Linked DNA regions of Oryctolagus cuniculus. The protein of the gene in region 3 purifies or fractionates together with the protein of the main gene of each other region. This does not show direct contact. Links are inferred from orthologs where the notes say so. Each region holds a gene or a part of one and is shown on either strand. Other genes may lie near its edges. The genes, in order: FASN, GMPS, TRIM21, ANXA2, G3BP1, IRF3 and ELAVL1.

What was found.
Region 1: the proteins of TRIM21 (region 3) and FASN purify together in Homo sapiens (affinity purification with western blotting; 3 studies listed by BioGRID, with this or other methods). This does not show direct contact. The link is inferred for Oryctolagus cuniculus from reciprocal best matches to the Homo sapiens genes TRIM21 and FASN.
Region 2: the proteins of TRIM21 (region 3) and GMPS purify together in Homo sapiens (affinity purification with western blotting; 3 studies listed by BioGRID). This does not show direct contact. The link is inferred for Oryctolagus cuniculus from reciprocal best matches to the Homo sapiens genes TRIM21 and GMPS.
Region 4: the proteins of TRIM21 (region 3) and ANXA2 purify together in Homo sapiens (affinity purification with western blotting; 3 studies listed by BioGRID, with this or other methods). This does not show direct contact. The link is inferred for Oryctolagus cuniculus from reciprocal best matches to the Homo sapiens genes TRIM21 and ANXA2.
Region 5: the proteins of TRIM21 (region 3) and G3BP1 purify together in Homo sapiens (affinity purification with mass spectrometry; 3 studies listed by BioGRID, with this or other methods). This does not show direct contact. The link is inferred for Oryctolagus cuniculus from reciprocal best matches to the Homo sapiens genes TRIM21 and G3BP1.
Region 6: the proteins of TRIM21 (region 3) and IRF3 purify together in Homo sapiens (affinity purification with western blotting; 3 studies listed by BioGRID, with this or other methods). This does not show direct contact. The link is inferred for Oryctolagus cuniculus from reciprocal best matches to the Homo sapiens genes TRIM21 and IRF3.
Region 7: the proteins of TRIM21 (region 3) and ELAVL1 purify together in Homo sapiens (affinity purification with western blotting; 3 studies listed by BioGRID, with this or other methods). This does not show direct contact. The link is inferred for Oryctolagus cuniculus from reciprocal best matches to the Homo sapiens genes TRIM21 and ELAVL1.

What each region holds. Positions count from the first base shown.
Region 1 is NC_091448.1:881,253-884,752, forward strand, and holds part of FASN (fatty acid synthase), read left to right. Parts: coding exon 1-106; intron 107-187; coding exon 188-360; intron 361-435; coding exon 436-627; intron 628-711; coding exon 712-792; intron 793-871; coding exon 872-1,051; intron 1,052-1,129; coding exon 1,130-1,309; intron 1,310-1,396; coding exon 1,397-1,600; intron 1,601-1,780; coding exon 1,781-2,085; intron 2,086-2,339; coding exon 2,340-2,729; intron 2,730-2,798; coding exon 2,799-2,963; intron 2,964-3,039; coding exon 3,040-3,158; intron 3,159-3,236; coding exon 3,237-3,391; intron 3,392-3,497; coding exon 3,498-3,500. UniProt on the Homo sapiens protein: Fatty acid synthetase is a multifunctional enzyme that catalyzes the de novo biosynthesis of long-chain saturated fatty acids starting from acetyl-CoA and malonyl-CoA in the presence of NADPH.
Region 2 is NC_091435.1:125,038,502-125,042,001, reverse strand, and holds part of GMPS (GMP synthase [glutamine-hydrolyzing]), read left to right. Parts: intron 1-22; coding exon 23-138; intron 139-3,500. UniProt on the Homo sapiens protein: Catalyzes the conversion of xanthine monophosphate (XMP) to GMP in the presence of glutamine and ATP through an adenyl-XMP intermediate.
Region 3 is NC_091432.1:62,646,944-62,650,161, reverse strand, and holds the end of TRIM21 (E3 ubiquitin-protein ligase TRIM21), read right to left. Parts: intron 2,262-3,218; coding exon 2,161-2,261; intron 1,857-2,160; coding exon 1,309-1,856; 3' UTR 501-1,308; downstream 1-500. UniProt on the Homo sapiens protein: E3 ubiquitin-protein ligase whose activity is dependent on E2 enzymes, UBE2D1, UBE2D2, UBE2E1 and UBE2E2.
Region 4 is NC_091443.1:83,261,075-83,263,369, forward strand, and holds the end of ANXA2 (annexin A2), read right to left. Parts: intron 1,974-2,295; coding exon 1,851-1,973; intron 853-1,850; coding exon 793-852; 3' UTR 501-792; downstream 1-500. UniProt on the Homo sapiens protein: Calcium-regulated membrane-binding protein whose affinity for calcium is greatly enhanced by anionic phospholipids. It binds two calcium ions with high affinity. May be involved in heat-stress response.
Region 5 is NC_091437.1:38,749,060-38,753,097, forward strand, and holds the start of G3BP1 (ras GTPase-activating protein-binding protein 1), read left to right. Parts: upstream 1-1,238; 5' UTR 1,239-4,038. UniProt on the Homo sapiens protein: Protein involved in various processes, such as stress granule formation and innate immunity. Plays an essential role in stress granule formation.
Region 6 is NC_091449.1:7,838,213-7,842,437, forward strand, and holds the start of IRF3 (interferon regulatory factor 3), read left to right. Parts: upstream 1-1,425; 5' UTR 1,426-1,541; coding exon 1,542-1,578; exon of another isoform or gene 1,579-1,873; intron 1,874-1,911; exon of another isoform or gene 1,912-2,055; coding exon of another isoform or gene 2,056-2,192; coding exon 2,193-2,365; intron 2,366-2,875; coding exon 2,876-3,044; intron 3,045-3,126; coding exon 3,127-3,179; intron 3,180-3,449; coding exon 3,450-3,729; intron 3,730-3,812; coding exon 3,813-4,193; intron 4,194-4,225. Other genes in the region: BCL2L12 (bcl-2-like protein 12), read right to left, coding at 443-585, 710-816.
Region 7 is NW_027208201.1:4,186,157-4,190,307, reverse strand, and holds the start of ELAVL1 (ELAV-like protein 1), read left to right. Parts: upstream 1-1,351; 5' UTR 1,352-1,489; coding exon 1,490-1,641; intron 1,642-3,215; coding exon 3,216-3,317; intron 3,318-4,151. UniProt on the Homo sapiens protein: RNA-binding protein that binds to the 3'-UTR region of mRNAs and increases their stability.

The DNA.
Region 1 (3,500 bases), on a different chromosome or scaffold from region 3:
AGCGGGGCCTCAAGTCCAGCTGCACCATCCTGCCCCTGATGAAGAAAGACCACAGGGACAACCTGGAGTTCCTGCTTACCAGCCTGGGCAAGCTGCACCTCACCGGGTAGGTCCCCGCCCGCCCGCCCGCCCCCGAGAGCCCCCGAGCAGGCCGGGCCAGCCGCTCACGCCCCCGTCCCCTTGGCAGCATCGACGTCGACCCCAACGCCCTGTTCCCGCCGGTGGAGTTCCCGGCCCCCCGAGGGACCCCTCTCATCTCCCCCCACATCAAGTGGGACCACAGCCAGAGCTGGGACGTGCCCGCCGCCGAGGACTTCCCGAATGGCTCCAGTTCCTCCTCCGCCACCGTCTACAACATCGGTGAGCCGGGCCCCGCGCTGGGGAGCTGCGGCTGGGCCCTGGTGCGCTGGTTCTGAGACCTGTGCCTGCCCGCAGACGCCAGCCCCGAGTCCCCCGACCACTACCTGGTGGACCACCGCATTGACGGCCGCGTCATCTTCCCCGGCACCGGCTACCTGTGCCTGGCCTGGAAGACCCTGGCTCGCAGCCTGGGCCTGGCCATGGAGCAGATGGCCGTGGTGTTCGAGGACGTGACCCTGCACCAGGCCACCATCCTGCCCAAGACTGGTGAGGCCCCTGGCAGAGGCTGGGGCACTGAGGGGCGGGGCCCGCTGACCTCTGACCTTTGAACCTGACTCCGCTGCTCCACAGGGACCGTGCCGCTGGAGGTGCGGCTCCTGGAGGCCTCCCGTGCCTTTGAGGTGTCTGAGAACGGCAACCTGATCGTGAGCGGTGAGTGGGGTCCCAGCTCGGGGCACAGCTGGACGGCCCTGCCCCAGCCCACTCAGGCCCGTCTGCCGCCCACCCGCAGGGAAGATATACCAGTGGGAGGACCCGAACCCCGAGCTCTTCGAGCGCCCAGAAGGCCTGAGTCCCGCGGACGCCTCTGCCGCCTTCCGGCTGACCCAGGGCGACGTGTACAAGGAGCTGCGGCTGCGTGGCTACGACTACGGCCCCCACTTCCAGGGTGTCGTCGAGGCCAGCCTCGAAGGTGGGCTGGGCTCCGGGTGCCCTGGCCGGGCTGCAGAGGGGCTCAGAGACCATGTGGCGCCCGGCCCCTCTGCTGCAGGCACCTCCGGCCAGCTGCTGTGGAAGGACAGCTGGGTGACCTTCCTGGACGCCATGCTGCAAGTGTCCATCCTGGGCCACAGCCAGCGCAGCCTGCGCCTGCCCACGCGCTTCACGCTCCTGCGTATCGACCCCGCCACCCACCTGCGCAAGGTGTATGCGCTGCAGGGCGAGGCCCGAGGTACCCCTGCCCCGCCCCGCCCGCGTCCGCCCCACACCCTGCCCCGCGCCCCCGGGGGGCCCTGGGCTCACCCGCCTGTCCCCGCAGCGGCGGACGTGGTGGTGGACAGCTGTCTGGGCACCATCGTGGCCGGCGGAGCCCACATCGCCGGCCTCCACACCTCCGCGGCCCCCCGGCGGCAGCAGGAACAGCTGGTGCCCACCCTGGAGAAGTTCTGCTTCGTGCCCCACGTGGAGGGCGCCTGCCTGTCGGAGAGCGCCGCCCTGCAGGAGGAGCTGCAGCTGTGCAAGGGTGAGGCCCGCTGACCGAGCGGGGGCAGAGGACACACTCAGCCCCTCCCTGGCTGTGCCCCCACCCGCACACGCCCTGGGGGAGGCAGGCAGTGGCCGTTCCGGGCTGTCCGCTGTGTGCCTGTCCTGCAGGGAGGCCCACAGGCGGGCTCTGGGGGCATCGGTCTGTCTCTTCTCCCAGGGCTGGCGCAGGTGCTGCAGACCAGGGTGGCCCAGCAGGGGCTGAAAATGGCCGTGCCGGGGCTGGACGGGTCCCCGGCCCCCCAGGAGCCCCCTCAGCAGGCCCTGCCCCGCCTGCTGGCGACCGCCTGCCAGTTGCAGCTCAACGGCAGCCTGCAGCGGGAGCTGGGCCAGGCGCTGGCCCGGGAGCGGCCGGGGCTGCCCGAGGACCCGCTGCTCAGCGGCCTCCTGGACTCTCCGGCGCTCAAGGCCTGCGTGGACACAGCCCTGGAGAACCTGCCCAGCCTCAGGATGAAGGTGGTGGAGGTGGGTGCTGGGCCAGCAACGGGCCGTGCCAGGGAGCCCAGGGCCAGGGCAGCCTCTGTGAGGACACACGTGCTGCACCTGCTCCGGCGCGCTGCGCTGCGGCCGGAAGACACCCCGGCACGGCAGGCAGGCAGGGCCAGAGCTGGGGTGCGGGCGTGCAAGGGGCCTGGGGCTCCGGGCAGGGGACCCTGAGGAGAGCAGGCAGGCAGGGTGGCCAGCAGGGTCGCTGGCTCAGGAAGCTGCCTCCATGCCAGGTGCTGGCCGGGGAGGGCCACCTGTATGCCCGCATCCCAGAGCTGCTCAACACGCAGCCCATGCTGCAGCTGGAGTACACCGCCACCGACCGCGACAGCCAGGCCCTGCAGGCGGCCGAGGCGCAGCTGCAGCAGCGAGACGTCGGCCAGGCCCAGTGGGACCCCGCGGGCCCTGCTCCCGGCAGCCTGGGCACAGCCAACCTCCTGGTGTGCAACTGTGCCGTGGCCAGCCTCGGGGACCCGGCCTCCGCCCTGCGCAACATGGCGGCCGCCGTCAAGGAAGGCGGCTTCCTACTGCTGCACACCCTGCTGCGGGGACACGCCCTCGGCGAGACCCTGGCCTTCCTCGCCTCTTCCGAGCCTCAGCGTGGGCCGAGCCTCCTGACCAAGGTGGGACCCGGGGCCAGGCTGGGGGGGGGCCGGGGCCAGGCCAGCCGGCGCTGACCCCGCCCCCCGCAGGACGAGTGGGAGCGCCTGTTCGCGGAGGCGGCGCTGCACGTCGTGGGCCTGAAGACCTCCTTCTACGGCTCCGCCCTGTTCCTGTGCCGCCGGCCCAGCCCCCAGGACAGCCCCATCTTCCTGCCCGTGGAGGACGCCAGCTTCCGATGGGTGGACTCTCTGAAGGTCTGGGCCTGGGCCTGGGCCCCCACCCAGCACAGCCCGTGGCCCTCCCAGAGGCCAACCCCGCCTTGTCCCGCAGGACGTGCTGGCCGAGGACTCCTCCCGGCCCGTGTGGCTGACGGCTGTGGACTGCGCCACCTCGGGCGTCGTGGGCCTGGTGAACTGCCTCCGCAAAGAGCCCGGCGGGCACCGGATTCGGTGAGAGACGCCCGCCCCCCACGCCACGCCCGCCCCCACGGCCCCGCCCCCACGGCCCTCACACCCTGCCGCCCACAGGTGCGTCCTGCTGTCCAACCTCAGCAGCAAGTCGCCCGCGCCTGCCCTGGGCCCCGAGTCCGCGGAGCTGCGGGAGGTGCTGCGGGGGGACCTGGTGATGAACGTGCATCGGGACGGGGCCTGGGGCGCCTTCCGCCACTTCCCGCTGGAGCAGGGTGAGCCCCCGGCCCTCGCGGGCTCCCTGCCTGAGGGGCGGGCTGAGCAGGAGGATGGGGACCCCGGCCAGGAGGCCCGTGGCAGCCTCGCTCCTGCCGCCCCCAGACA
Region 2 (3,500 bases), on a different chromosome or scaffold from region 3:
TTGATTATATTTCTGTTTTCAGGGTGACTGTCGTTCCTACAGTTATGTGTGTGGAATCTCCAGTAAAGATGAGCCTGACTGGGAATCTCTTATTTTCTTGGCGAGGCTTATACCTCGCATGTGTCACAATATTAACAGGTGTGTCTGTAGGAAATGGGAGGTGTATGAGTGTAATGGAAGGAATTTTCATTTTTAAGATTTATTTATTTGAAAGAGTTAGAAGGAGGGACATAGAGATCTGTAATCTGCTGGTTGACTACCCAGATGGTCATAATGGCCAATGATGGGCCAGGCCAGAGCCAAGAACCAGGAGCTTCATCTGGGTCTTCCATGTGGATAGCCAGGACCTAAGCACTTGGGCCATCTTCTGCTACTTTCCTTATGCCTTTAGCAGGGAGCTGGATTAGAAGTGGGGTAGCTGAGACATGAACTGGTGCCCATATGTGATGCCGGCATCACAGTTGTTTTTATTCACTACACCATAACGCCAGCCCCAAGGATTTGTTTTCTTATTTATTTGAAAGACAGTTACAGAGAGAGGTAGAGCCAGAGAAAAGGAGAGAGGTCTCCATTCTGCTGGTACACTCGACAAATGACTGCAGCGGCCAGAACTGAGCTGATCCAAACCCAGGAGCGAGGAGCTGCTTCTGGATTTTCCACGTGGGTGCAGGGGCCCAAGGACTTGGGCCATCTTTTACTGCTTTCCCTAGGCCATAGCAGAGAGCTAGATTGGAAGAGGAGCAGCTGGGACTTGAACTGGCACCCATATAAGATGCTGGCACTGCAGGCTGGGGCTTTAACCCGTTATTCCACAGCGCAGGCCCCAAGGATTTGATTTTTTAAGTTCTTCCGTTAATGAGAGACCCAGAGGCTTAAGTGTAGATATAATTAGATGATATTTTATAAGAGTGAATCACTCCATTTACAGTTCAGATACGCACTTTGAACATAGTTAATCAGATATTTAATATCATTTTGTATTTGATCTTTCATCACAATCTGTTTTTTAAAAATTGGTTATTTTCCTTGAAAGGCAGAGTTAGAGAGAGGGAAAGATCTTGTTCACTACTCAAATGGACACAACAGCTGGGGCTGGGGCTGGGCCAGGTTGAAGCCAGGAGCCTGGATCTACCCAGGTGTGTGATGTCGGTGGCAGTGGGCCAAGCACTTGGGGCATCTTCTGCTGCTTTCCCAGGTGCATTAGCTATGAGCTGGATCAGAAGTGGAGCAGCTGGGACTTGATCTGATACTCATGTGGGATGCTAGCATCACAGACGTTAGCTTAGCCCACTGGGCCATAATGCTGGCCCTGGTATAAAAATATTAAAGACAGCTTTGAAATATGTATTTTAAATAAGTGACTTATGTTAGCTAATAGTTTTATAATAAGTTTTATGCCTGAGGATTGACAGAAATTTATACAGATCATAGAATTCAAAATAGAGATAAATTTAAATAGTATTCCCAGAGAAAGTCAAAGAAATAAGTAGATGCCAGATAGTATTGAAGTACCTGTGTTTACAGGTTACTTACACAGTTTCAAATCCAATTTAACTTGTTCATTAATTGCTTATGTTGGGTATAACAGCTGGTTCATAATCTTTTCCTGATACTTCATTCTATTGGCCCATATACAGTTAAAAAATCTTTCTTGTTTAGTACCAGATTGCAAATTATTCTTTTTTCACAGTTGCTTACCCTCTTCAGTTTTTAATAGTTGTTAAGTAGTTAAAAAGCCAAAAAGAATTACTTAAGATCTCATTTTACCTTGCGGCGCCGGCACACCGGGTTCTAGTCCCGGTTGGGGCGCTGGATTCTGTCCCGGTTGCCCCTCTTCCAGGCCAGCTCTCTGCTATGGCCAGGGAGTGCAGTGGAGGATGGCCCAGGTGCTTGGGCCCTGCATCCCATGGGAGACCAGGAAAAGCACCTGGATCCTGGCTCCTGCCATCGGATCAGCACGGTGCGCCGGCTGCAGCGGCGGCCATTGGAGGGTGAACCAACGGCAAAGGAAGACCTTTCTCTCTCTGTCTCTCTCTCTCACTGTCCACTCTGCCTGTCAAAAAAATAAAAAAAATAAAAAAAAAAATAAAAAAAAAAAAGATCTCATTTTATTCACATATGCTGCAGAAATTAGAAACCTATCTGTTATTATTAACCTAGTAGAGTCTGTGTAGTTAGAGAAAAGGAGACACAGGGAAACCAAGTTTTTACTGATGAGAACATGCCTATTAAAAGACTTAGTGGATCTAATGCAGAAGCATGTTTCATGTACTGAAAAAAAATATATTGTACAAAATGGTCAATTTGTAATTGCCCATTTTTGATGGAAATAATTGTCTTTGTTAAAAAAGTGATTCTTGATTCATCTTCTGAAGAATGTTAATTTTACTGTATAAACTTTGCATGTCATACAGAAAGTTTCCTTCCCTAAGTTTAACTAAATTTTAATTATATGATAGCATGATTTTCATTTTACATTCTTACAGTTTTATTTCTTTTAGTTTAGCCAAAAGGTACTTCCTTTGTTCAGATTTTTATTTCTGATCTTTTATATGATTATTTGCCTCTTTTTTGCCTTCCATTTTCATTCCCCCATCCCATACTCCCTCCTCAAAAAAGAAAACAAAGCCTAATAACCAGCAAAAAAGGATGGATTTAAAAATATGAACCTAGCAATCTCTTCAAAAATCTTAGTGGAAAGGTTGTAGATTTGTTTTTGCCCAGAATCTTTTGGAAGTTAGAACTTTTCCCATTTTCCCTCTTAATAGAGTTGAGAGAATCTTTGTACAGAGAGGGACTCTTCCAGTTAAATGTCCTTTTCAATGTGCATGACTATTTGTTCCCTAGTGATCATTCTTGTTTTAAAGGCAAAAAGAGCAGATGCATGGCATTCTCTTGAAGTAATCATTATCTAATCTCGTGAAGGATCATTTATGAGCTGTAGGAACTGCATGTGTCTTTAGAAGAAGCATGCCTGAATTTCCATGCCTGGGATAGGAACCTTCCTCTGTTACAGTATGTTTGGAAGGAGGCAATCAAGTAATTGGTGATAGTGCTGGTGTTGAGCTAATGCTGTTTTATTTTGTATATATTTCATTCCAAGTACTTAGTAAGAAAGAAAAAAAACATTAAACTTTACCATGGTAGTTACTAGGAAAGACTTATTTGCCCTTCTAATAATAGGGTTAAGGAAAAGGGACAGTTGTCTACTGGCTGGAGGTAAGAATAGAGAAAGCTAGGTAGCACTCCTAAATCTCCCCTGGCTCCCTCTTATTATTGGGGTGAAGATTGTGAAACAGATCTCTCCAATCAGGGACAAAATTCATCTCAAGTTTGAATTTTCTTAATTGATCTTCATGTCCTCAAGTTATATTCCAAACCCTACTTTTAGTAGTATTTGCAGTGCATCTTCATATCTTACAGATAAATGTTTGCTTAAAAGCAGTAGTGAGTCATTCCATGGGAGAGAGGTGGAAGGATACTAAGTCGTATTTCAGTGG
Region 3 (3,218 bases):
TTAGTGGAGGCCATATGTGTTCCCCTGGAAAAGCCAGAAAAACTTGCCCAAGAAAGGGGGAATTTCAGAGAGGAATGATAGCAAACTTGGATGTCCCAGGAGGAGTAGAAGTGTTCCATTTTCCAGGAAGAACGCTGAGAGCTGAGGGCACCCGAGCCTTCACCCTCTATCAGTGACATTCACTGGTCAACCAAGAACATGGACAGAAGCATCTCAGGTCTTTCAGAGATACAGAGAACAGTACCAGCTCTGAGAGCACTTTGTTTCAAACCCAGGAGTTCCCTCTATGTGAAGGGCACCTGCCCTCGGGCAGTGACTGCAATCTCAAAATGCCTTCTATTATCACAGTGGCCACTTGGAGATCAAGAGAGGAAACTCTTACTGGTATCTTCTGCCCAAGACCAAATAATCCAGATGCAGAAGTAGGGAGGGCAGCCCAGGCAGGAAAAAATGTGCAACATTAGATATCTAAGCATACTTTAAAGTTTGTAAAAAAAAAATGGAGTTAAGATACATTTATTTTGGTGCAAAAATTGAAATCCATGCATACTTTTCATATGTATTTTCCATGAACATTTTGAAGGAATGTTGTATATCACTATTAATCAGAGTTGTCAAATATTTCAGGTTTAAGGAACAAGGGCAGAATACAACACAACTGTTTTTAGGAAGCTATTTTACAAACCACCCACAGTATAACAGAGCTCTGACCTAAGATAATAACCTGAAGATGGAGAGGCTAAAACAGGATTTTTTTTTAAAGGTTTATTTACTTGAAAGAGAGTGAGCAAGCTTCTATTTGCTGGTTCACTACCTAAATGGCCGCAATAACTAGAGCTGGGTCAGGCCGAAGCCAGGAGATTTGTCTGGGTCTCCCACATGGGTGCAGGGGCCCAAGGACTTGGCCCTCTTCCACTGCTTCCCCGGACACATTAGCTGGGAGCTGGACTGGAAGTGGAGAAACCAGGATTTGAACTGTGGCTTAACCTTCTATGCTACAGTGCTGTCCCCTAGGACAGAACTTCAGCGACATAAAGGAGGTGGAAACTGGTTCAGGTGAGTTTGGGCTAAATCTGCAGTTTGCTTCACTGGAGGGAATCGGCAATTTAAAGCAGAAATACCCACTTGATATTGGCTTTCAGTGACCTCCCACCCCTGCTAACAACTGCTTCCTGGGATCCCAACACCTCTGCAGAGGCAAAAGTGTCTCAAGCGTTCATGGGCAAAAGAGGCAGGGGCTGCTGCTGGGAGGGGCCCCAATGGGACGAGGGTGTCCATGAAGAGCCCTCAGTAATTGGCGAGTCCAGACTATGCCATCTTCAGTGGACAGAGAGTGAGAGGAGCTCCATTTTTTCCATCATCATTGAAACCAGGACTGAAGAAGGGCCGCAGAGGTCCAGCAAAGTCACAGTCAGAGAAGGTGTAGATCAGGGACCCATGGTCAGTGACATTGTAGAAGGAAACAGTGCTGGCCTCATAGTCCAGGAAGATCCCAACTTGGTATGGAGGTACCCGAAGGTGGAGGGGGGTTGGGGAACAGGTGCCAGCCTCATATTGTTTTACTTTCCACAGCCAAATTGTCCAGAAGCCTCTCTCAGTGTTGAGCACAAAATTCCCCTTCCTCTGCACCGAGGCTCTGCAGACTCCCAGGTCCCAGGCCCTCTTTCCCCTCACACTGACTTCCCAGTAATGCTTTCCAGAGTTGAAGTGCTGGGCACCGAGGACCATTGGATAATTATCAAATCTCTCTTCATTTTTTGGCACATCCTGCCAGGTGTTTGCAAGCCTCACTTGTCTCAGGTCCTCTGAGATGATGAGCTGTGGATTGGCCGTTTGTGGATCCAGAGTGATGTGTACTGCAGAGAGAGCACCACGGTCAGGCCTGGGGTGTGGGAAGTCCTCAGCCTGTGCCTGTAGCAAGGGGATCTGTGTCAATTCCAGGAGGAGGACGAGCGGCCGACCTCCTCAGGTGAGGAACTGACTTCCAGCGAGCCCTGGCCTTGCCCTGGCCTTTGAAGGGATTACCTTCTCTACTCCTATCTCTCCCCCACCTGCCATCTCTCCTCCATACTGCTGTCCATCCTCCCCCATCCTGGGTCTACTCCACACTTTCATCATTCCCATCTGCCCCACACCCACAACTCCCAGAGCTCGCCTCACCGCCACACGTCCTCAGCATCTTCTTCAGCCCCGGCACATGGCACACACTCCTCAGGTCTGGTGAGATGACTTTCAGCTCCTCCAGGCTCCAGGACTCACTCCTGGGGAAAGAGTTTCAGACTCGTCTTCCACTCCTATTACCTACCCGCTCCCCCACCCCAACCATAACACTATGACTTCCTTGGGGATTGTGATAGTTAAGTACAAAACTTATAATTGCCTCTGGGAAGTAGGAATGAGAGGCAAAAATTTCCAGGATTTATCCAGAAATTCCTAGTTATGAAAGTCTTTGCAGCATGTGTCTTCTCTCATGCTTACTTGGTGACCTTGGGCTCCATCTTATCTTACAGGCAAGGTGTCTGATACAGGCTGAATCACATCTATGAGAAGCCTCAAGGAGTCTGGCCATGCTGTAGGTCTGTCTTACAGCTCTTTCGAGGTAGTTTATAACTGGTGTAACTGCTTCTAAAAAAGCAGACCCAGCAGGCTAGAGAAATTCCTAGCCTTTCCCCAGTTGTTGGGGATTTGCTCTGTGAAGATATTATAGCCCAAATCCTCTGGGAAACTTGGCAACTGAGCTATCCATTTGTTAGCCTTCTGAAACCAGAAAGTGCTTAATAGAGGATCTCCTTGAGAACAGGGAGGCAAGCACGGGAAAGTCCAGGGCATGTTTTTCTACCTTTGCCACCCTCTCAGAGGCATATATGATCATATTGCCCCCTCTTTTATTTATTTTATTTTTTAACTTTTATTTAATGAATATAAATTTCCAAAGTACAGCTTATGGATTACAATGGCTTCCCCCCCATAATGTCCCTCCCACCCGCAACCCTCCCCTTTCCCACTCCCTCTCCCCTTCCATTCACATCAAGATTCATTTTCGATTCTCTTTATATACAGAAGATCAGTTTAGCATACATTAAGTGAAGATTTCAACAGTTTGCTTCCACACAGAAACATAAAGTGAAAAATACTGTTTGAGTGCTAGTTATAGCATTAAATCTCAATGTACAGCACACTGAGGACAAAGATCCTACATGAGGAGTAAGTGCACAGTG
Region 4 (2,295 bases), on a different chromosome or scaffold from region 3:
CCCCGTACCACAGTACTGGCCCTGAAGGTGAGTTCCTGAGGGTGGGGCAGGATGTGCCTAGTGATGTACCCCGATATTTGTAATATTTGCTCAACAGAAGCAGCAGCCACTGATGTTGCTTCACCTACTTTACCTGTAGAAGCACGAGCAGTCGAGACGGCCGTGGGACTTCCTTTCCCCACAGTCCCTCCATCCCCTGGGGGTGCAGTGCTCCCAACAGAACTTCCTATGGCCTTGGAAGCATTCTGTACCCACACGGCCCACACGCAGGGGCTTAGCTAGCATTTGAAACGTGAGTACAGCAGGACTGTAGGACTAAACTCTGAATTCAACTTCATTTCAATGCATTTAAATAACCTCCCCGGACAGTGCCCACTGCACCAGCTGGCTGTGTTCCAGAACTTTCTTCCCCTGGCGACGGCCCTACCCATTGAACAACACGATCCTGGGAGAGTGATTTTCAAAGAACTCAATGGAAAGCAAGGCCAACACAATACTGGTTTTTAAAGTAAAAATTCAGTTTATTGTTGACACAGTGCCCAAGAGGCAAAGTGTTTCACATCACAGACTTCACTTCCAACTCCTTGGAATGTTCTTTTCTTTGGCTTAAAGGAGAGACTAGAGGGCAGAGCCGGGCAACGCTCAGGCAACTAAAGTAAGGTTGGGGCTGGGGGCGGCACCAGCCCCACCTGCATGGGGCGGGCACGGGGTCTGTTAGCTGCAAGCTGGTTTTCTAGCACTGTTAGCAGGCATTAGGTGTGGCACGGCTGGTGGGCACTCCTGCGGGGGGCTTCAGTCGTCTCCACCACACAGGTACAGCAATGCTTTCTGGTAGTCACCCTTGGTGTCTTGCTACAAATGGCCAAAGAGAAAAAAAATAAATCAAGTGAAAGACCCAACTCTGCAACAAAAAGAAATATCTGGGCATCCCCCACATACAGTGGAGCATGGCCCAGGGCCAGCACAGGGGAGGGTCTGTAGGTCCTGGCCCAGCACAGGGGCCCTGGAGACCAAGCCCAACGCCTGGGGCCTGGCCAGCCATCCCCCAGGGAGGCATCTGAGTCCCACCACACTGCGAAGGTGGAGGGGTGGAGTGCTCTTCCTGCACAGGGGTCCTGAGACCTCCCCCCTTTCCTCCTCGCCCTCTCTCTTCCACACAGGACAAGGGTACCTTTCCTGCCTCATTCTTTGCTTCATGGATTCTCAAGGTCAAGTGGATATAAGCTGGGGAGGTGAGGAAACATCTCCTGAGACCCCAGCTGGTCCCTCCAGTTTAGCCCTGCCCCTGACAGCTTGGGGATATACCCATTCCGCCTCCAGACTCATCCATGGCACCCATGGACATGGCTTTGGAAACTTCCAAGGCTTTCAGAACAGACCCCGGATTGCAGAGCCGGTCTGAACCTCCCCCGACCAAGCAATCCCGCTCTGCAAACACAGTCACTCCTTCTATAGGAACATCCCATCCCACCGTCCCACCAGCAGGGACAGACCCTGAACTGATGGGGACATGAGAGCGCAGGTGGTCAGGCTTGCCATGGAGGGCTGTGCACCAAGCACACGCACCACGGAGCCAAAGTCACGACCAATCTTCTAAGTCTTAAGGATGTCGGCGATCATCATCATGAACAAGGATGATGGTGACAGGATGACAAAGGCAGGAGATAGATTTTTTTTTGCCTGATTCTACAAGGCCCTGGGGCAGGTCATCAACAGTGCTTCCAAAATAAATCCCTGACTTCTCCTGACCAGCAGCTCCACCCCTCAGGGAAGGAGAAGCCAGAAAATCCTGATTCTGCCAGCCTCTGCCCGGGCCACCCGCCGGGGCACCCCGGCACCTGGTGCCTCACCTGGATGTAGGAGTACAGGGACTTGCCGTACTTCCTCTTGAACTCCGACCTGATCTTCAGCATGTCCACTTCACTGCGGGAGACCATGATTCTGATCAGGACCTTGTCGCGAGTCCCCTTGCCCTGAAAGTGCAAGGGACGACACGGGGTGAACTCACTGACAACACCACCACAAACACAGCCTGGGAGGTTTCTCTGGAGCCCAGGACTGCACGGTTCTTGATGTCGTGCTCTGAGAGAGACCGCAAACACAACAGTGAAAGTACTCCTTTCTGGAGACCAGGAGCACCTCGGCGTTCCAGGCGCAGCAGGATTTAACAAGCACAGCGTCCCATGTATGGGGGCACTGGTTCGAGTCCTGGCTGCTCTGCTTCTCGTCCAGCTCCCTGCTGAAGGACCTGGCAAGGCAGCAGGAGATGACCCAAGTACTTGGGCCCCTGCCACC
Region 5 (4,038 bases), on a different chromosome or scaffold from region 3:
GGCCGGCGGGCTGACCACAGCCCGCCCAACGATCGCTCCTCGGCGGCAGTGCCGCGGGCCAAGTCGGACCGGAGCCCGCGTGGGGCGCGCGTCCTCCCGCCCAGCGGCCGTCGCCACCTGCCGCCTAGCCACGGGCTCCGGCGTTCCCAACGGGCGCGCCTCGCCGGCAGTGCTGACTCACGGGAAGGGCCAGCAAGTGCCCTCAGGCAGCGCGCGGACATGAAAGAGTTTGATAAGGAGAAGAATTAAATTCAGGGAAACTTTGCCACTTGGCTTCCTGGGTGCCAGACTGTGCGGAAAAGGCGGGAGAGGGAGACCCCAGGGGCCGGACCCAACAACCGAAAGAAAGAGGACAGAAGCCGGAGCCCGGCCCGCCTCTTAATCGCCCCGGAGGGCAAGGCCGCCCTGAGCCTCGGTCTCTTTGGAGAGCGGTTCAACCCCCATGTCAATCAGCTCATTCCGGTGTTGCCATTGGCCAGGTGCTTCCATGGCCTCCAAGTTGCCCACCTCCTAGTTGCTTGGGGTTTACTTCCCCAAAGTACACGGGCCCCACCTTGTGGAGCAACCGCTCCTGCACGGAAAACGGGTCTCCACCCAGGGGATGGAGTGCTAGCCAATGAGAGCATCTCCAAGCATTTATTGGCTACTATGGGTATCAGTCAAAGAATTTCCCACCCTCCTCTCTACTATGCCTTCCAGTTACTGGGCCCTTTGAGTGCCAATCCGTTACTAGGGAAACGAGATCTTCACAGTCTCATAGGTATGTGTCAAAGCCAATCAAGAGCCACGCCCCCATCATGAGGCAGTATCCAATTGCTGTTCGAAGAGCCCAGAGGATGCAGTCGGGATTGGTCATCCACTCGCCTGGCCTGGCTGCAACAAGTTAGGCTGAGTCGCGATTATATAGACCGGCGGCGGAGCACGCGTGTGTGCGGACGCAGTTGCGTGAGCGATTTCTGCTTCTCTCCGTGCGGTGGAGCAAGGCTTGTTCCTCTCCCACTCAGCCGCGCAGGTACGCCGGGGTGTGGGCGGGGCAGGGTACTGGAGGACGGGGACGAGTCGGGGCGACGGCGGGAGAGAGGAGAAACCCGAGGAGCTGCCGCGCGGGGCGCGTCCCCCCACCCCCACCCCAACGGCCGCAGGCGCGCGCGGCGGGCGTTCGGGCGCGCGGCGCCGCCTCCCCCCCCCCCCCCCCCCCACCGGCTGGAGCGCGTGGCCGCGTCCGCCGCGCGCGCGTCCAACGGCCACGCGGGGCAAGAGCAGCCGGTGGCGGCGGCCCTCCGAGTCCCGGCGTGACCTCCCGGGCCCGGGGTCCCCGCGTTGCCCGGGAGCGTGTGCGGCTGGCTTTGCGCGCCGGCCCCCGCCACGCGCCATCGGGGGCTTTCTTGGAGGGGACAGCACGAAAGTGCCATGAGAGAGAGTCTCGGAGCTGGCAAAGCAGAAGTGCCGCGCCTTGGTGGCGCCTGCGGGGACGGGGGAGATGCGCGGTCCTCCCCGCCCGCACGGTGCCGAGCGGGGTGTCTGCCCGGAGAGCTGGGTGCCGTCGCGGCCGCCTTTCGAATAGGAGAGGCACGAAGGCACAGGCCCACGGGCGGAAGGGCGGGTAGGGTGGCTCGCTGGCTCCGGGCCCCTGAGCCGGTGCGAGTCCAGGGCACCTTTGCCCCGGGAGCACTTGTCCCTTCGCAAGGCCCCTGCGCGGAGCGCGGCCGGGCCTGAGTGCGCATGGGCTTGCAGGGGCTCGGGTTGGGAGTGGGGCTGCGACAAAGGGAAGGGGTGTTTGGGCTTCGTGCCTGCACGTATTCGTACCGTTGCAGCTTCAGAGAAAATTAGAGGGGCGGGGGGACCGAGTAAAATGCAGATAAGTGCGTGTGTTCCTCATCGGGCTTTAAGCTCTCAGCATTGTGATGGGAAAGTCCCGCCAGCGGGAAGTGAGGCTGTGATTCGACTTTTCCCTTTTTTGTTTAAATCAGCCGATTTTCGGGGAAAAAAAGGGACGTCTAAGAAAATCAGTTGCCGAAAATGAGGTCCAGAGCAGTGAGATTCGAATGTCCCCAGCACCTGTGGGTTGAAATTAGAAATTGGAGTGGAGGACATAGCACCGGTTACAATGTAACCGTGATCCTGCGGGGGTTCTGTGGCTGAGAGGCGCACTGTCGGTATTGGAAGTGTGTCTGCAGGGTTCAGTCCGCAAGGCTCCAGGGTGTGTGCAAGGTCGTGGAAGAAACCTTCCTTACCATCAAGGACTGGAGTTTATTTTTACAGCAGTGTTCTCATATTGTGGACTATTGAAAGCTAGTAATGCCTTGGTCTCGTGAAATGTTTTTAATGTTGCAGGCCCGTATCATTCATTTTGCATCGCAAATACCTGAACTTCAGGCAGAACTAAAAAAAGTTTGAAGATTAGCTCTTTGGACTAATTTTTTTTCTTGAAAGGCTTTTCACTGTTTTGTTTTTCAGTAAAGCTTGTTTCTACAGATCCTTTTTCAGATCTTTAAGGGATTTTTTTGCTGTCAAAGCAGACACAACGTGCATCCTTGTGCAGGGATTAACAATTACGAAGTTTAATATTTGTGTTTCTCTACGACAGGCGCTTTCCCTGTTTCTTAACAGAAGGTAGCAATAAAGGATCAAAATAATTGTAGGGACAAGTTCTTCCTTTGTTGGTGTTGCTATAAATAACACGTTGCTTTAAAATGTAACATTGTTTTATTTGCAGCGTGCTTTGTGTAGCAATTCCAGTTACCTGCATTTGTAGCATGTTAAGATTTAAGGTGAACCATTTAAATCGCCTGATGTTCAAACATGATAATGACGTACATTTAAACAGAGTTCAGTGAACATTATTGCTTGAGGTAAAATAAATATATCAGAATGAAATGATCTTACGTATTGAGGAAAATTTTGTAAATTTTACCTTCAAATACTAAAAAAGTTGTTCTTGACCTCAGGCAAGAAGTGGTCTTGTTGGTCTGGAATACTATGTGATTATTTTGCAAATCAGTACCCCAGCTGCTGATTTGTGCCTTTTATCTAGTACTGGTAAACTGAAGAAATTGTGATAACACAATACCTGTGTCTCCCCACTTCTGGATCAAGGTATAGGTTACTTTTCTTGGAGTTGAGTCCTTTCAGTCTAAGCTTTGTACCTCTTCTCACAGGTAGAAAAGTATGTGGGTCATTGTTTAACTCTTAGCTGGTAGGTGGGGTGGGGGCGACATTGGGAGATTTTGATTTTGTTTGTGACCCGTGTTAATTTATCTTTTGGGTTTTCAAAATTTATTTCAGTACTTTATTTAGGAAGTAAAGAACACAGATTAGTTTTAAATTTTCATAGATTTGTGATGGTGTTGAAATTTCATATAAGACCAATTACTAAAATAAGTATTTTTGTCATAATAAAACTGCATACTTGATCTTTTAACATTTTTGCACAATAGTTTTTTTTTTAATTACAGAATTCAAATAGGTACTGTATCTGTATATATGTAATTACATTGTGCTTTTTGACTTCCTTGGACAGAATTGTATTGACTTTACAAAGGAGGACAATTATCAAAGTACATTTGTCAAAAAAAAAAAAGTCCTTCCACCCCCCACCACTAGTCAGCTGAGGGAAACCTGTACTGTCCTTCCAAGTCCTGGAGTTAAATTTAGATTCAGCAACTGTAATCTCACTCACAGTTAGGGATCACATTGTGGCTGTTAACCAGCTTTATATCTTTTTGAAAAGTCAGCTTTCTCGTTGACCCTTCTTTTGTGAAGCGTTCTTACACACCACTGGGGCCTCACTGGGAAGGCTAAATTGCAAGCCAGGTGGTCGTGTGGTGAGCTAGGAGTAGTCCACATACGAAGAATGAAGAGTCTGCCTGACAGAGCAGAAATCAGTTAACATTTTTTTCATCACAGGCTGTGATCTAGTAAATAAGGTTGTTTTTTATAATATTGCATAGCTTTTTAGTATGTTTGCTGTACTTCAGCATTCTGTGAAAAGTAAAGATTAAAAATGTTTCAGAGAAAAATCTGACTTCCTGGGTGAGA
Region 6 (4,225 bases), on a different chromosome or scaffold from region 3:
TAGATTCCAGATTGTGGATGGGCCACCAGTAACGTTTGTACCAATATTCCACAATCCAGAAAACTTCCCAGATGGGAAGCCCTTCTCGTCCCGGGCACCTCGGGACCTGCGGACTGATCCCAGCACGCGTCGCCCAGCTGTCCGGGCTCACCGACCACAGCTCTGCCGGCCGCGCCGGCGCAAGGTGGATGGCTGCGCACCACCTCTGCCGCACTGGACCAGGAAGGGAACGGTCACACGGCTGCGCAGCCAAAGCGTCCAGGGCTCCGGCCTCCCTGTCGGAGGTGCTGGGGGCTGCACAGTCCAACAGGGCGAGACCCATGTGGACCGGGAGAGGTGCAGGGGGGCCGCGATCGCTCCCGCTGTCCACCCGGAGAACTGGGGGGCGGAGCCGGAACCCGGCACTAGGACCGCATCCTGCCTGCGGTCAGGAAGGGCTTACCCGGCTCCGAGCCATAGCAGGGGCGGAGGGGCAGGGAGGAAGGCCGAGGGGACTCAGGGGGGGCGGCTGCTCGCCCCAGGGGGCACGGAAGACATCTGCGGAGGCGGCTCAGGAAGTCTGTCGGCTCCTCCGGGGCGGGGTTCCTGGGGAGGGGGACCTCAGAGTGACCCCGGGGGGCCCCTGGGGACAGTCCCTCGTTCCTGCCCACTGAGGATCTCTCCCTCGCTGGACAAAGACGGACTGAGAGCGAGAGGGGGTCCCTCTTACCTGGGAGGGGTGGGGCTGGGGGCCTCGGCAGCCTCGCCCCTCCTGAGGAAGGCAGCCAGGACCCTCAGCGTGTCCTCGCGGAGCCCCAGCTCCTCCGAGCCCGCCATGGAGGCACCTGGGGGAGGGGAGGCTGAGGAGCTGGCGGCTGGGGCCCAAGCCCCCCGTCCCTGAATGAAGAGAGGCCCAGGAGTCCTGGGCCCCAAAGGGAGGAAGGCGCTGAGGGCCTCGGGGAGGGTTCAGGGTTGAGGGACCCAAACTCTTGAGTCCCCCAGAGGGAAAAGTGCGATGAGAACCAACTGCTTTATCCCGGAAAAGGAGGGGCCCGGGGCTGGGATTCCTAGATCCAAGGGAGGAGGGGGCTGGGGGCCCGGACTCCGGGGTCCGCGAGGGGAAGGGGGCTTTCTCGTGCATGCTGAAGTTAGCATATGCCAAGCTTAGCCGTCCTTAAGGGACCGGGAACTACCAATCCCAGCAGGCCCCGCAGAGGGCGAGCGCGGGGCGAAGGGAGTGTTTGCCACGAAGCCTGCTGGGAGATGTAGTTCCGACCACCACGCTGGCACGTTGGGGACCCCCGGCCCTGGGACATCGGAGAAGCGGCGCTGAGGTACCGCTCCAGGGTCCCGGCCCGATTCACACTTTATCCCAGCCAAGGACAACACCCCACTCACCTGGCCCAGCGCCCCGCTGCCGCAGCCGCCTCCCTCAAGTCACACAAACTTTTCTAGTAGGTCAACTTTCCCGCGCCTGCGCACTGGGCCGGTTGGGTAACCGCCCCCAACGTGGAAGGGGCGGGGCGCTGAGTGCCGCCTGATTTGCATATGACGTTCCCAGCATGCCTGTGGCCGGAAGACCGAAAAGGGGCGAGACGGGTACGCTCTGGGCTGCAGGCGGCCTCTTTGGCTTTGGAACTTGTTACCTAGAGGATGTTGAAATTGCTTTTATTTCAAGAGATCGATAGGAAAGACAGCCCCGGCGCGCTAAAGCTCAGCTGACAGGACACAAGCTGCGCAAGTTCGAGCTTGAGAGCTACCCGGAGCCCAGGGCCGGTGGGCGTCCACCCTGCGCGCCCCGACCGTAACGCGGAAGAGTTCATTCCAGAGTGGAGAGGGGCGCGCGCGCTGGCGGGGGCGGGGGGTCGTGCCCGAGCATCGGCGCTGGAAACGGGTAGGGGGCTCCCTCGTGGGGGAACCGTGGAAGGCGGCCCACAGCGCGGTGGAATCGGGGATGCCGGCTTTGGATCAGGAAAAGGGGGAGGTCTACACTGGCCGAGGCGAGGGCGTGGAGGCTGGGTGTCTACAGTGTGTCTGGGCTGGAATCCTCGCTGAATCAGGGAGTCTTTCCGGAGGATGGGAGAGGAGGCCCCCTGTTTGTACACCAGGCGATTACGGGACGCTGCGACCCGTGGAGGGAGCCTGGGTGTGGAAGTCCTGGGCCAGGTAGGGCAGGAGAGGGCCCACGCCCAGGAACCTCCCTGTCCGCGCAGGCGGGAGCATGGGGACGCAGAAGCCGCGGATCCTGCCCTGGCTGATCCAGCAGCTGGACCTGGGGCAGCTGGAGGGCGTGTCGTGGGTGGACGAGCACCGGAAGCGCTTCCGGATACCTTGGAAGCACGGGCTGCGGCAGGATGCGCAGCCGCAGGACTTCGGCATCTTCCAGGTGCGCGCGTGCTCGGCTGGGAGGGGCTTGGCCCTGTGGCACCTGCTCCTAAGGCGACGGGTGTGGGGGGGCTGGTGCTGGGGAGCAGGCAGTGTGGGAGCGGCCCGGTTCCAGTTATCAGGGCCAGAGCCCCAAGGAAACGCATTCTGGTGCCGGCTGAGTCTGGCTTTGATTGTTGAATTCTGGGAGTGGCCAAAGCTGGGGTTCCTAACCACCAGCTTAGGATACACAGCGTCGGGGGCGGAGCTGAGGCTGTCCTGGGACCCGCAGAGGCAGGGAGACACCAGCGGGGCCCGGAAGGCTGGTGTGGGAATCAGTGGGTTTGACAGCTGCAGGCAGGGTGTAGGGGTGAGGCTGGATTATAGGGAAGCTGGGCACGTGGGGAATCCGAGAATCGGGATGGAACCCGGGCGCCAGAGGCTGCAGTGGGGGCGAGCCTTGTGTGAAGTGAGGACCCCAGGGCAGGGTCTCATCCTCCTCCCTGGTGTCCCGGCACCGCTGGTGCCCTAGGCCTGGGCAGAGGCCAGCGGCGCCTATACTCCCGGGGATAGGCCCGACCTGCCAACCTGGAAGAGGAACTTCCGGTCCGCCCTAAACCGGAAGGAAGTGGTGCGTTTAGCTGAGGACCGGAGCAAGGACCCTCACGACCCGCACAAGGTCTACGAGTTTGTGACCTCAGGTGTGCCAGAGCAGGGTTCCCCACGGAGGGCCGGGATGTCCGGTGCCCAGCACCCCTCCGCCACCATCGCCTTTCTCAACAGGAGCTGGGGACATCTCTCCCGAAGTTCAGGGGGACAGTACCTCTGAGAGCCAGGTGAGCATGCACCCCTCCCCGTCGTCCTGGCCTGGCCTCACCCCCCCCCCCCCCGGCTCCCAGCCCCCTGTGGCTGTCCGGCAGCCTCGGGCATCGGAGCGCCCACCCCACCCTGCCAGGATTTCATAGCTTTCCTCGGATAATGGCGCCCTCAGCCTCTTGAGACCTCAACCCCTCCCCCTCCCCCTCCCTTGCTGCTGTGCCAGGGACACGCCCCCTCTGAGACCCCCGTCTGCCAGGCGCTCAGGGGCGCGGCTGCGTCTCCCCCAGCCTGGAGCTCGTGGAGGGCCGAGGGGTCCCCGCGTGGCTGAAGTCCCCAGGAAGGGCCGCGGCGCCCAGCTCCGTCTGTCCCTCCAGGAAGACGAGCTGGAGCAGCTCCTGGGCGACATGGGCCTGGCGGCCGGCCCGGACGAGGGGCCCTGGGCTGGGGCTGTGGCCCCTGAGTGCTGCCCTCAGCTCTTGCTGAGCCCTCACCTGGACCACCCCGGCCCCTGCCCGCACCCCGCACCCCCTGAAAACCCACTGAGGCAGCTGCTGGTGCCCGAGGAACGTAAGTGCCCGCGGAGGGGCGGGAGGGGCCGCGGCCAGGGCTCCGGGCCTCACTCTCTCCCCGCCCTTCACGCCGCCCCGCAGAGTGGGAGTTCGAGGTGACCGCCTTCTACCGGGGCCGCCAGGTCTTCCAGCAGACCATCTGCTGCCCAGGAGGCCTGCGGCTCGTGGGCCCGGAAGCCGCAGCCAGGACGCTGCCGGGGCAGCCGGTTGCCCTGCCGGACCCCGGGACGGCCCTGTCTGACGGGAGCGTGAGCTGCTACGTGCGACGCGTGCTCCAGAGCCTGGAGGGGGGACTGGCCCTGTGGCAGCTGGGGCCTCGGCTCTGTGCCCGGCGGCTGGGGCACTGCCACACCTACTGGGCCGTGGGGGAGGAGCTGCTCCCCAACAGCGGGCACGGGCCCGCCGGCGAGGTCCCCAAGGACCAGGACGGAAGCGTGTTCGAGCTGGGGCCCTTCGTGGCAGGTGAGCGGGCGACGGGCTGAGGCGAGCACGGG
Region 7 (4,151 bases), on a different chromosome or scaffold from region 3:
AGCTATTGGAAAAAAAATTTTTTTTTAATTATCCTCTGTGACTTGCATACAGGGGGTATCTCAAAACAAGAGGTGGGAAAGTGGAATTGAGAGGTAAGTTTATTTTGGCGCGAAATGTCTTGAAATCCATGCATGGTTTTCTCATAGCATGCATTTTTGTCCACTCACTGCCCCTACAGGGACTGGCACACACAGCAGGTGCTCAGTACAACTTAAGTGAAGAAACGTGAGGCCCTAACAGCCAGCCCTGCTGGAGCACTTCACCACTTCCCTTGTCCCGCCTCCCCACCGTGCAAGATCAGGAAACTGAGGCCTGGCGAGGTGACGTCAGCCCCTGGCCAACGGCAGCAGTGGGCAACGTCCGGGCCGGGATTCGAACCCGGGTCTTCTCCCCACAGCCAAGGCCCGCCGACCCTTCCTACCTTGCTGGGCGGCAGCTGCAGCGAGGCAGACAGGTGTGAGGCACAAGGCAAGTGCTCGACAAGGAACGCCGCTCCTCGCCCACCACCTCGAGTCGGCCTCCTGGGCTAGGCCCCTACTCGCCCCCTTCGCGGCCATCGCTGGCCACCCGCGTCTCCGCCGGCCTCTGAGCCTTCGCAGGCGGCGCCTACCGGAAGTCCCGCCTCCTCCGCGCGCCCCGGAGCGCAGCGACAGCCAAGCCTGCCAATGAGCGGCGCGCCGTGGCGGACGCAGACCAATAGGCGCGCGCGCCGGGGGGGCGTGTCCGGGCCGCGGGCCGGAGCGGGTCGTGCGCGCTGAGGAGGAGCCGCCGCCGTCGCCGTCGCTGCCGCCGCCGCCACCGCTACCGAGGCCGAGCGGAGCCGTTAGCGCCTCGCCGCAGCCGCCGCCCGCACGTCCCGGAGCAGCCCCGGGCCCGCCCGCCCGCGACCAGGTGAAGCAGGGGGGCTTTTGGAGGCGCCCGGCAGGGTAGGCCGCGGCAGGCCTGCGCTCGCTTGGCCTGGCCTGGCCGCGGGCGCCCGCGGGCCTGCACCGGTCGAGGCCCAGGCCGCGCCGGGGCCTGGAGGGGACGCGCGCGGGCCGCGCCGGGCGGGGCGGGCGGGGGCTGGCCAATGTGGGCGCCGGCGGCAGGCCCCGGGCCGGATTCCTGGGGCGCCGCGAGGGGAACGCGGCGTGGGCACGCGCCTGGGGGCCGGGCTCCGCGGCCGCGGCTCCGGTAGCCTTGGAAGCCCGGGATCCGGGGGCGGGGGAGTGAGGAGAACGCTTTGAGCGCGCAGAGGTCACGGCCCACCGGCTCGCTCCCCTGGGAAATCCCACAGATTCTTTTGTGGCCGTTGTCAGAGGACCGGCGGCCGGCCCGCGGCCCTTTTATAAGTGTGCAAACCCCTTGATCTGCAGGGGAGCCCTTGAGGCGGAAAAAACGTATTTTTTTTGAGCGCCATCTCTTAACAAAGCTGTTCGTGGGGCGTGGGACGTTTGTTTTTGTAAAATGTGTGTGTGTTTAGAACACGAAACTGCACGCAGTTGAACAATGGATGGATGCTCGTCCCTCCTTTTCCGGTGCCCGCTGTGGCGAGGCTTATTAAAACGGTCTTTGATACCTACTGTGTGCCCGGCAGGTGGAGAGGAACTTGGGCACGGCCGTCCCTGGAGGGACAGAGCCGCCGCCGCATCTCCCGCTGAGTGAGTCCTCACGTGGGATTTGGACGGCCAGTGTTCCAGAAATGGGGATGGGATTGACTCCGCAGCGTCCGCACTCGGGATGGTTGGGGTCAGGTCTTGGTTGGCCGGGGCTGCTCTGTGCGTTGTGGGGAGTTGAGAGCATCCCTGGCTTTTACCCTTTAGCGACCCCGCCTCTCCCCTCCCCCAGCGCAAGCATCCAAAATGTCTCCAGACATTGCCAGATGCCTTCCCCCCCAGGGGGTGGGGTCTCTCTTGCTGTCTCACTAAAGTGTCTGATCTTCCAGGAAAAGTTCCTCCAGCCCTCTCTCTGATCCTTTGAGAGGTGTTCCCAAGACCTTGAGATGAACTGTGTTGGGCTTTAGCTACAGAATAGTGAGGAAGGCGGTATGGTGCTGGCCCCCCTAGCGTTGTGCGTGGCCTGGCGCCTGGCAGGAGTCAGCGCCAGGGTTTATTGAGAACTGACTGTGCTTGACTCCAGCCCTCCAGGTAGGTGCTGTTGTAATTTCCATTTTAGAGATGCAGAAACCGAGGTTCAGCTGCGTGGCCTGATGTGCTCTTCTGCTAATGTGGCCAAGGTGGGGTTTGAATTCAGGCTCTCAGACTCAATCTTAACCACAGGGGCCCAGCAGGTGGTGTTTCTGGGGATTCCATTCAGCTGTCATCGAACCGCCACAGGCCAAGCTCTGGCCTGATACCTGCTTTAAAACTACCATTTTGAGGTCCATGGAGAGACTGAGAAGCCTAACATCTCTAAGTGTGCAAGGAAATTGTGTTGAGGTTGAAGCACTGGTTTTGAGGGAGCAGAGTTTTACTTTAGCTGTGTTGAGTCTGAGGCCATAGCGCAGCAAGGGGAAAATGAGCCGGTTAAGAAATTCCTGGCTTCTGCTGCTTGCTTCGCGGCTGTTCTTGCTCCCTGCTGCCATGTCTAGCAAAGTTGGCTTTCCACACTCCCTTGCCAACTGTCTTCTGTCAGGGCAGGTCCGGCAGTGCCACTCCTGATTGCAAATTTTTGACCTGAAAAACAAATTTTCTTGGCCTCTTCAGGTGACTTAAAGGATAAAAATCAGGGCTCCTTAGGCTTGGCTGCCTGTTCTTTCACACTCAGCCCTCCCTCCCTTCCTGACATCATTGTACCAGTGCCCCAGAGTCCAGGCCTCCCTGCTGTCGCGCTCTCTGCCTGGGAGATGCCACTGTCTTCCAGCTAAGGATCACTTCCTTGTGCTCCATGCCCCAGCTCAGAGCCCACTCCCCGTTCCTTCGCCCCGCACCGGCATCAACTTGCCCTTCCCATTCAATTTATGGAATTCACCGCTGAATGGTGAGAGAAGCGCAGTGCCCTCCTTCCGCCCCTAGGTGGCAGGCCTGAAACGGCAGGCCCGACAGGAGGCTGTGGGTCAGAAGACAAGGAAACCAGCGGGTAGAGGGGAAGTGAGTCTTGTTTCTCTCCTTTGAATAACTTTCCCTGTGCCACTGCGTCCTGGGCCCTGTGCTAGGCTCTGGGGAGATGATGATGTACACTGTGTGTGTGTGTGTGTGGATCATCTCAGCTCACTAGCCAATGCTGTGACAATTAGGCTCTGGCTGACACAGAGGCCACAGAAGAGGGAGCTGTTAACCCAAGCCGAGGTGGGCACAGACAGCCCAGACTGCCTGCTGGAGGAGATGAAGAGAGAGAGGTGAGGAGGAGTTAGCCAGGGGGAGGGGCTTGGGCATGGATGGGGCCTGTCTCAGCTTGTCCAGGTACACATAGGGTCTGGGACTTTAGGGCAGGAAGGGTGAAGGGAGCCGTGGCGGGGCTACTGCTGCCACTTGCGGGCAGAGGGTTTGGCTGCCACCCTCTGTGGCAGGCCTGGGACACTACTGAGCAGTGTTGGTCACAGAGGGAGTCATTCTGCACACAGAGAGCTTTGTCCCGCCCAGAAAAAGCTGGAGGTGGGCAGAGCTCAACGTCAGAAAACCAATTAGGGGACAGTTGGTTTCCTTTAGAGCATGGGTGAGGGACCTTTTTTTCCCCCCACAAAGGTCCATTTAGATGTTTATAATATTCACAAGCAATACAAAGTTATCAACTTAAAAATTAGCCTGCTATAGACTATTGGATTTCAAGTCCCACCTGTGGTTGCCTTGGCAGGGTCAGATCAAATGGTTTCACAGGCCTTATACAGCCCTTGGGCTAGACATTGCCCACCCTTGCTTTAGGTCCAGAAAGCTGGTGATGTGATCCAGGGCTGCAGTGCTGAGACAGAGAGGGGACACTGGGGGGAAGGACACAGGGCTCATGGGTTTGGAGGTGTGGAACATGAGGGAGAGAAGACTGGCTGACTCTGGGTCTGAGTGTGACCCTGGAAGCGAGTCAGTCACTGAGAGAAGCCAGAAAGCCCCAGAAGGAGCACTTCAGTATGTGAGTGGGCAAGCAAGCATATCATTAGCAGGGAAGGGGCCACAGGTAGTAGCTGCGTCTGCACTGCAGGGCCGTTCACGCCCATGCTCGCCTGTCGTCCTCCACCCAG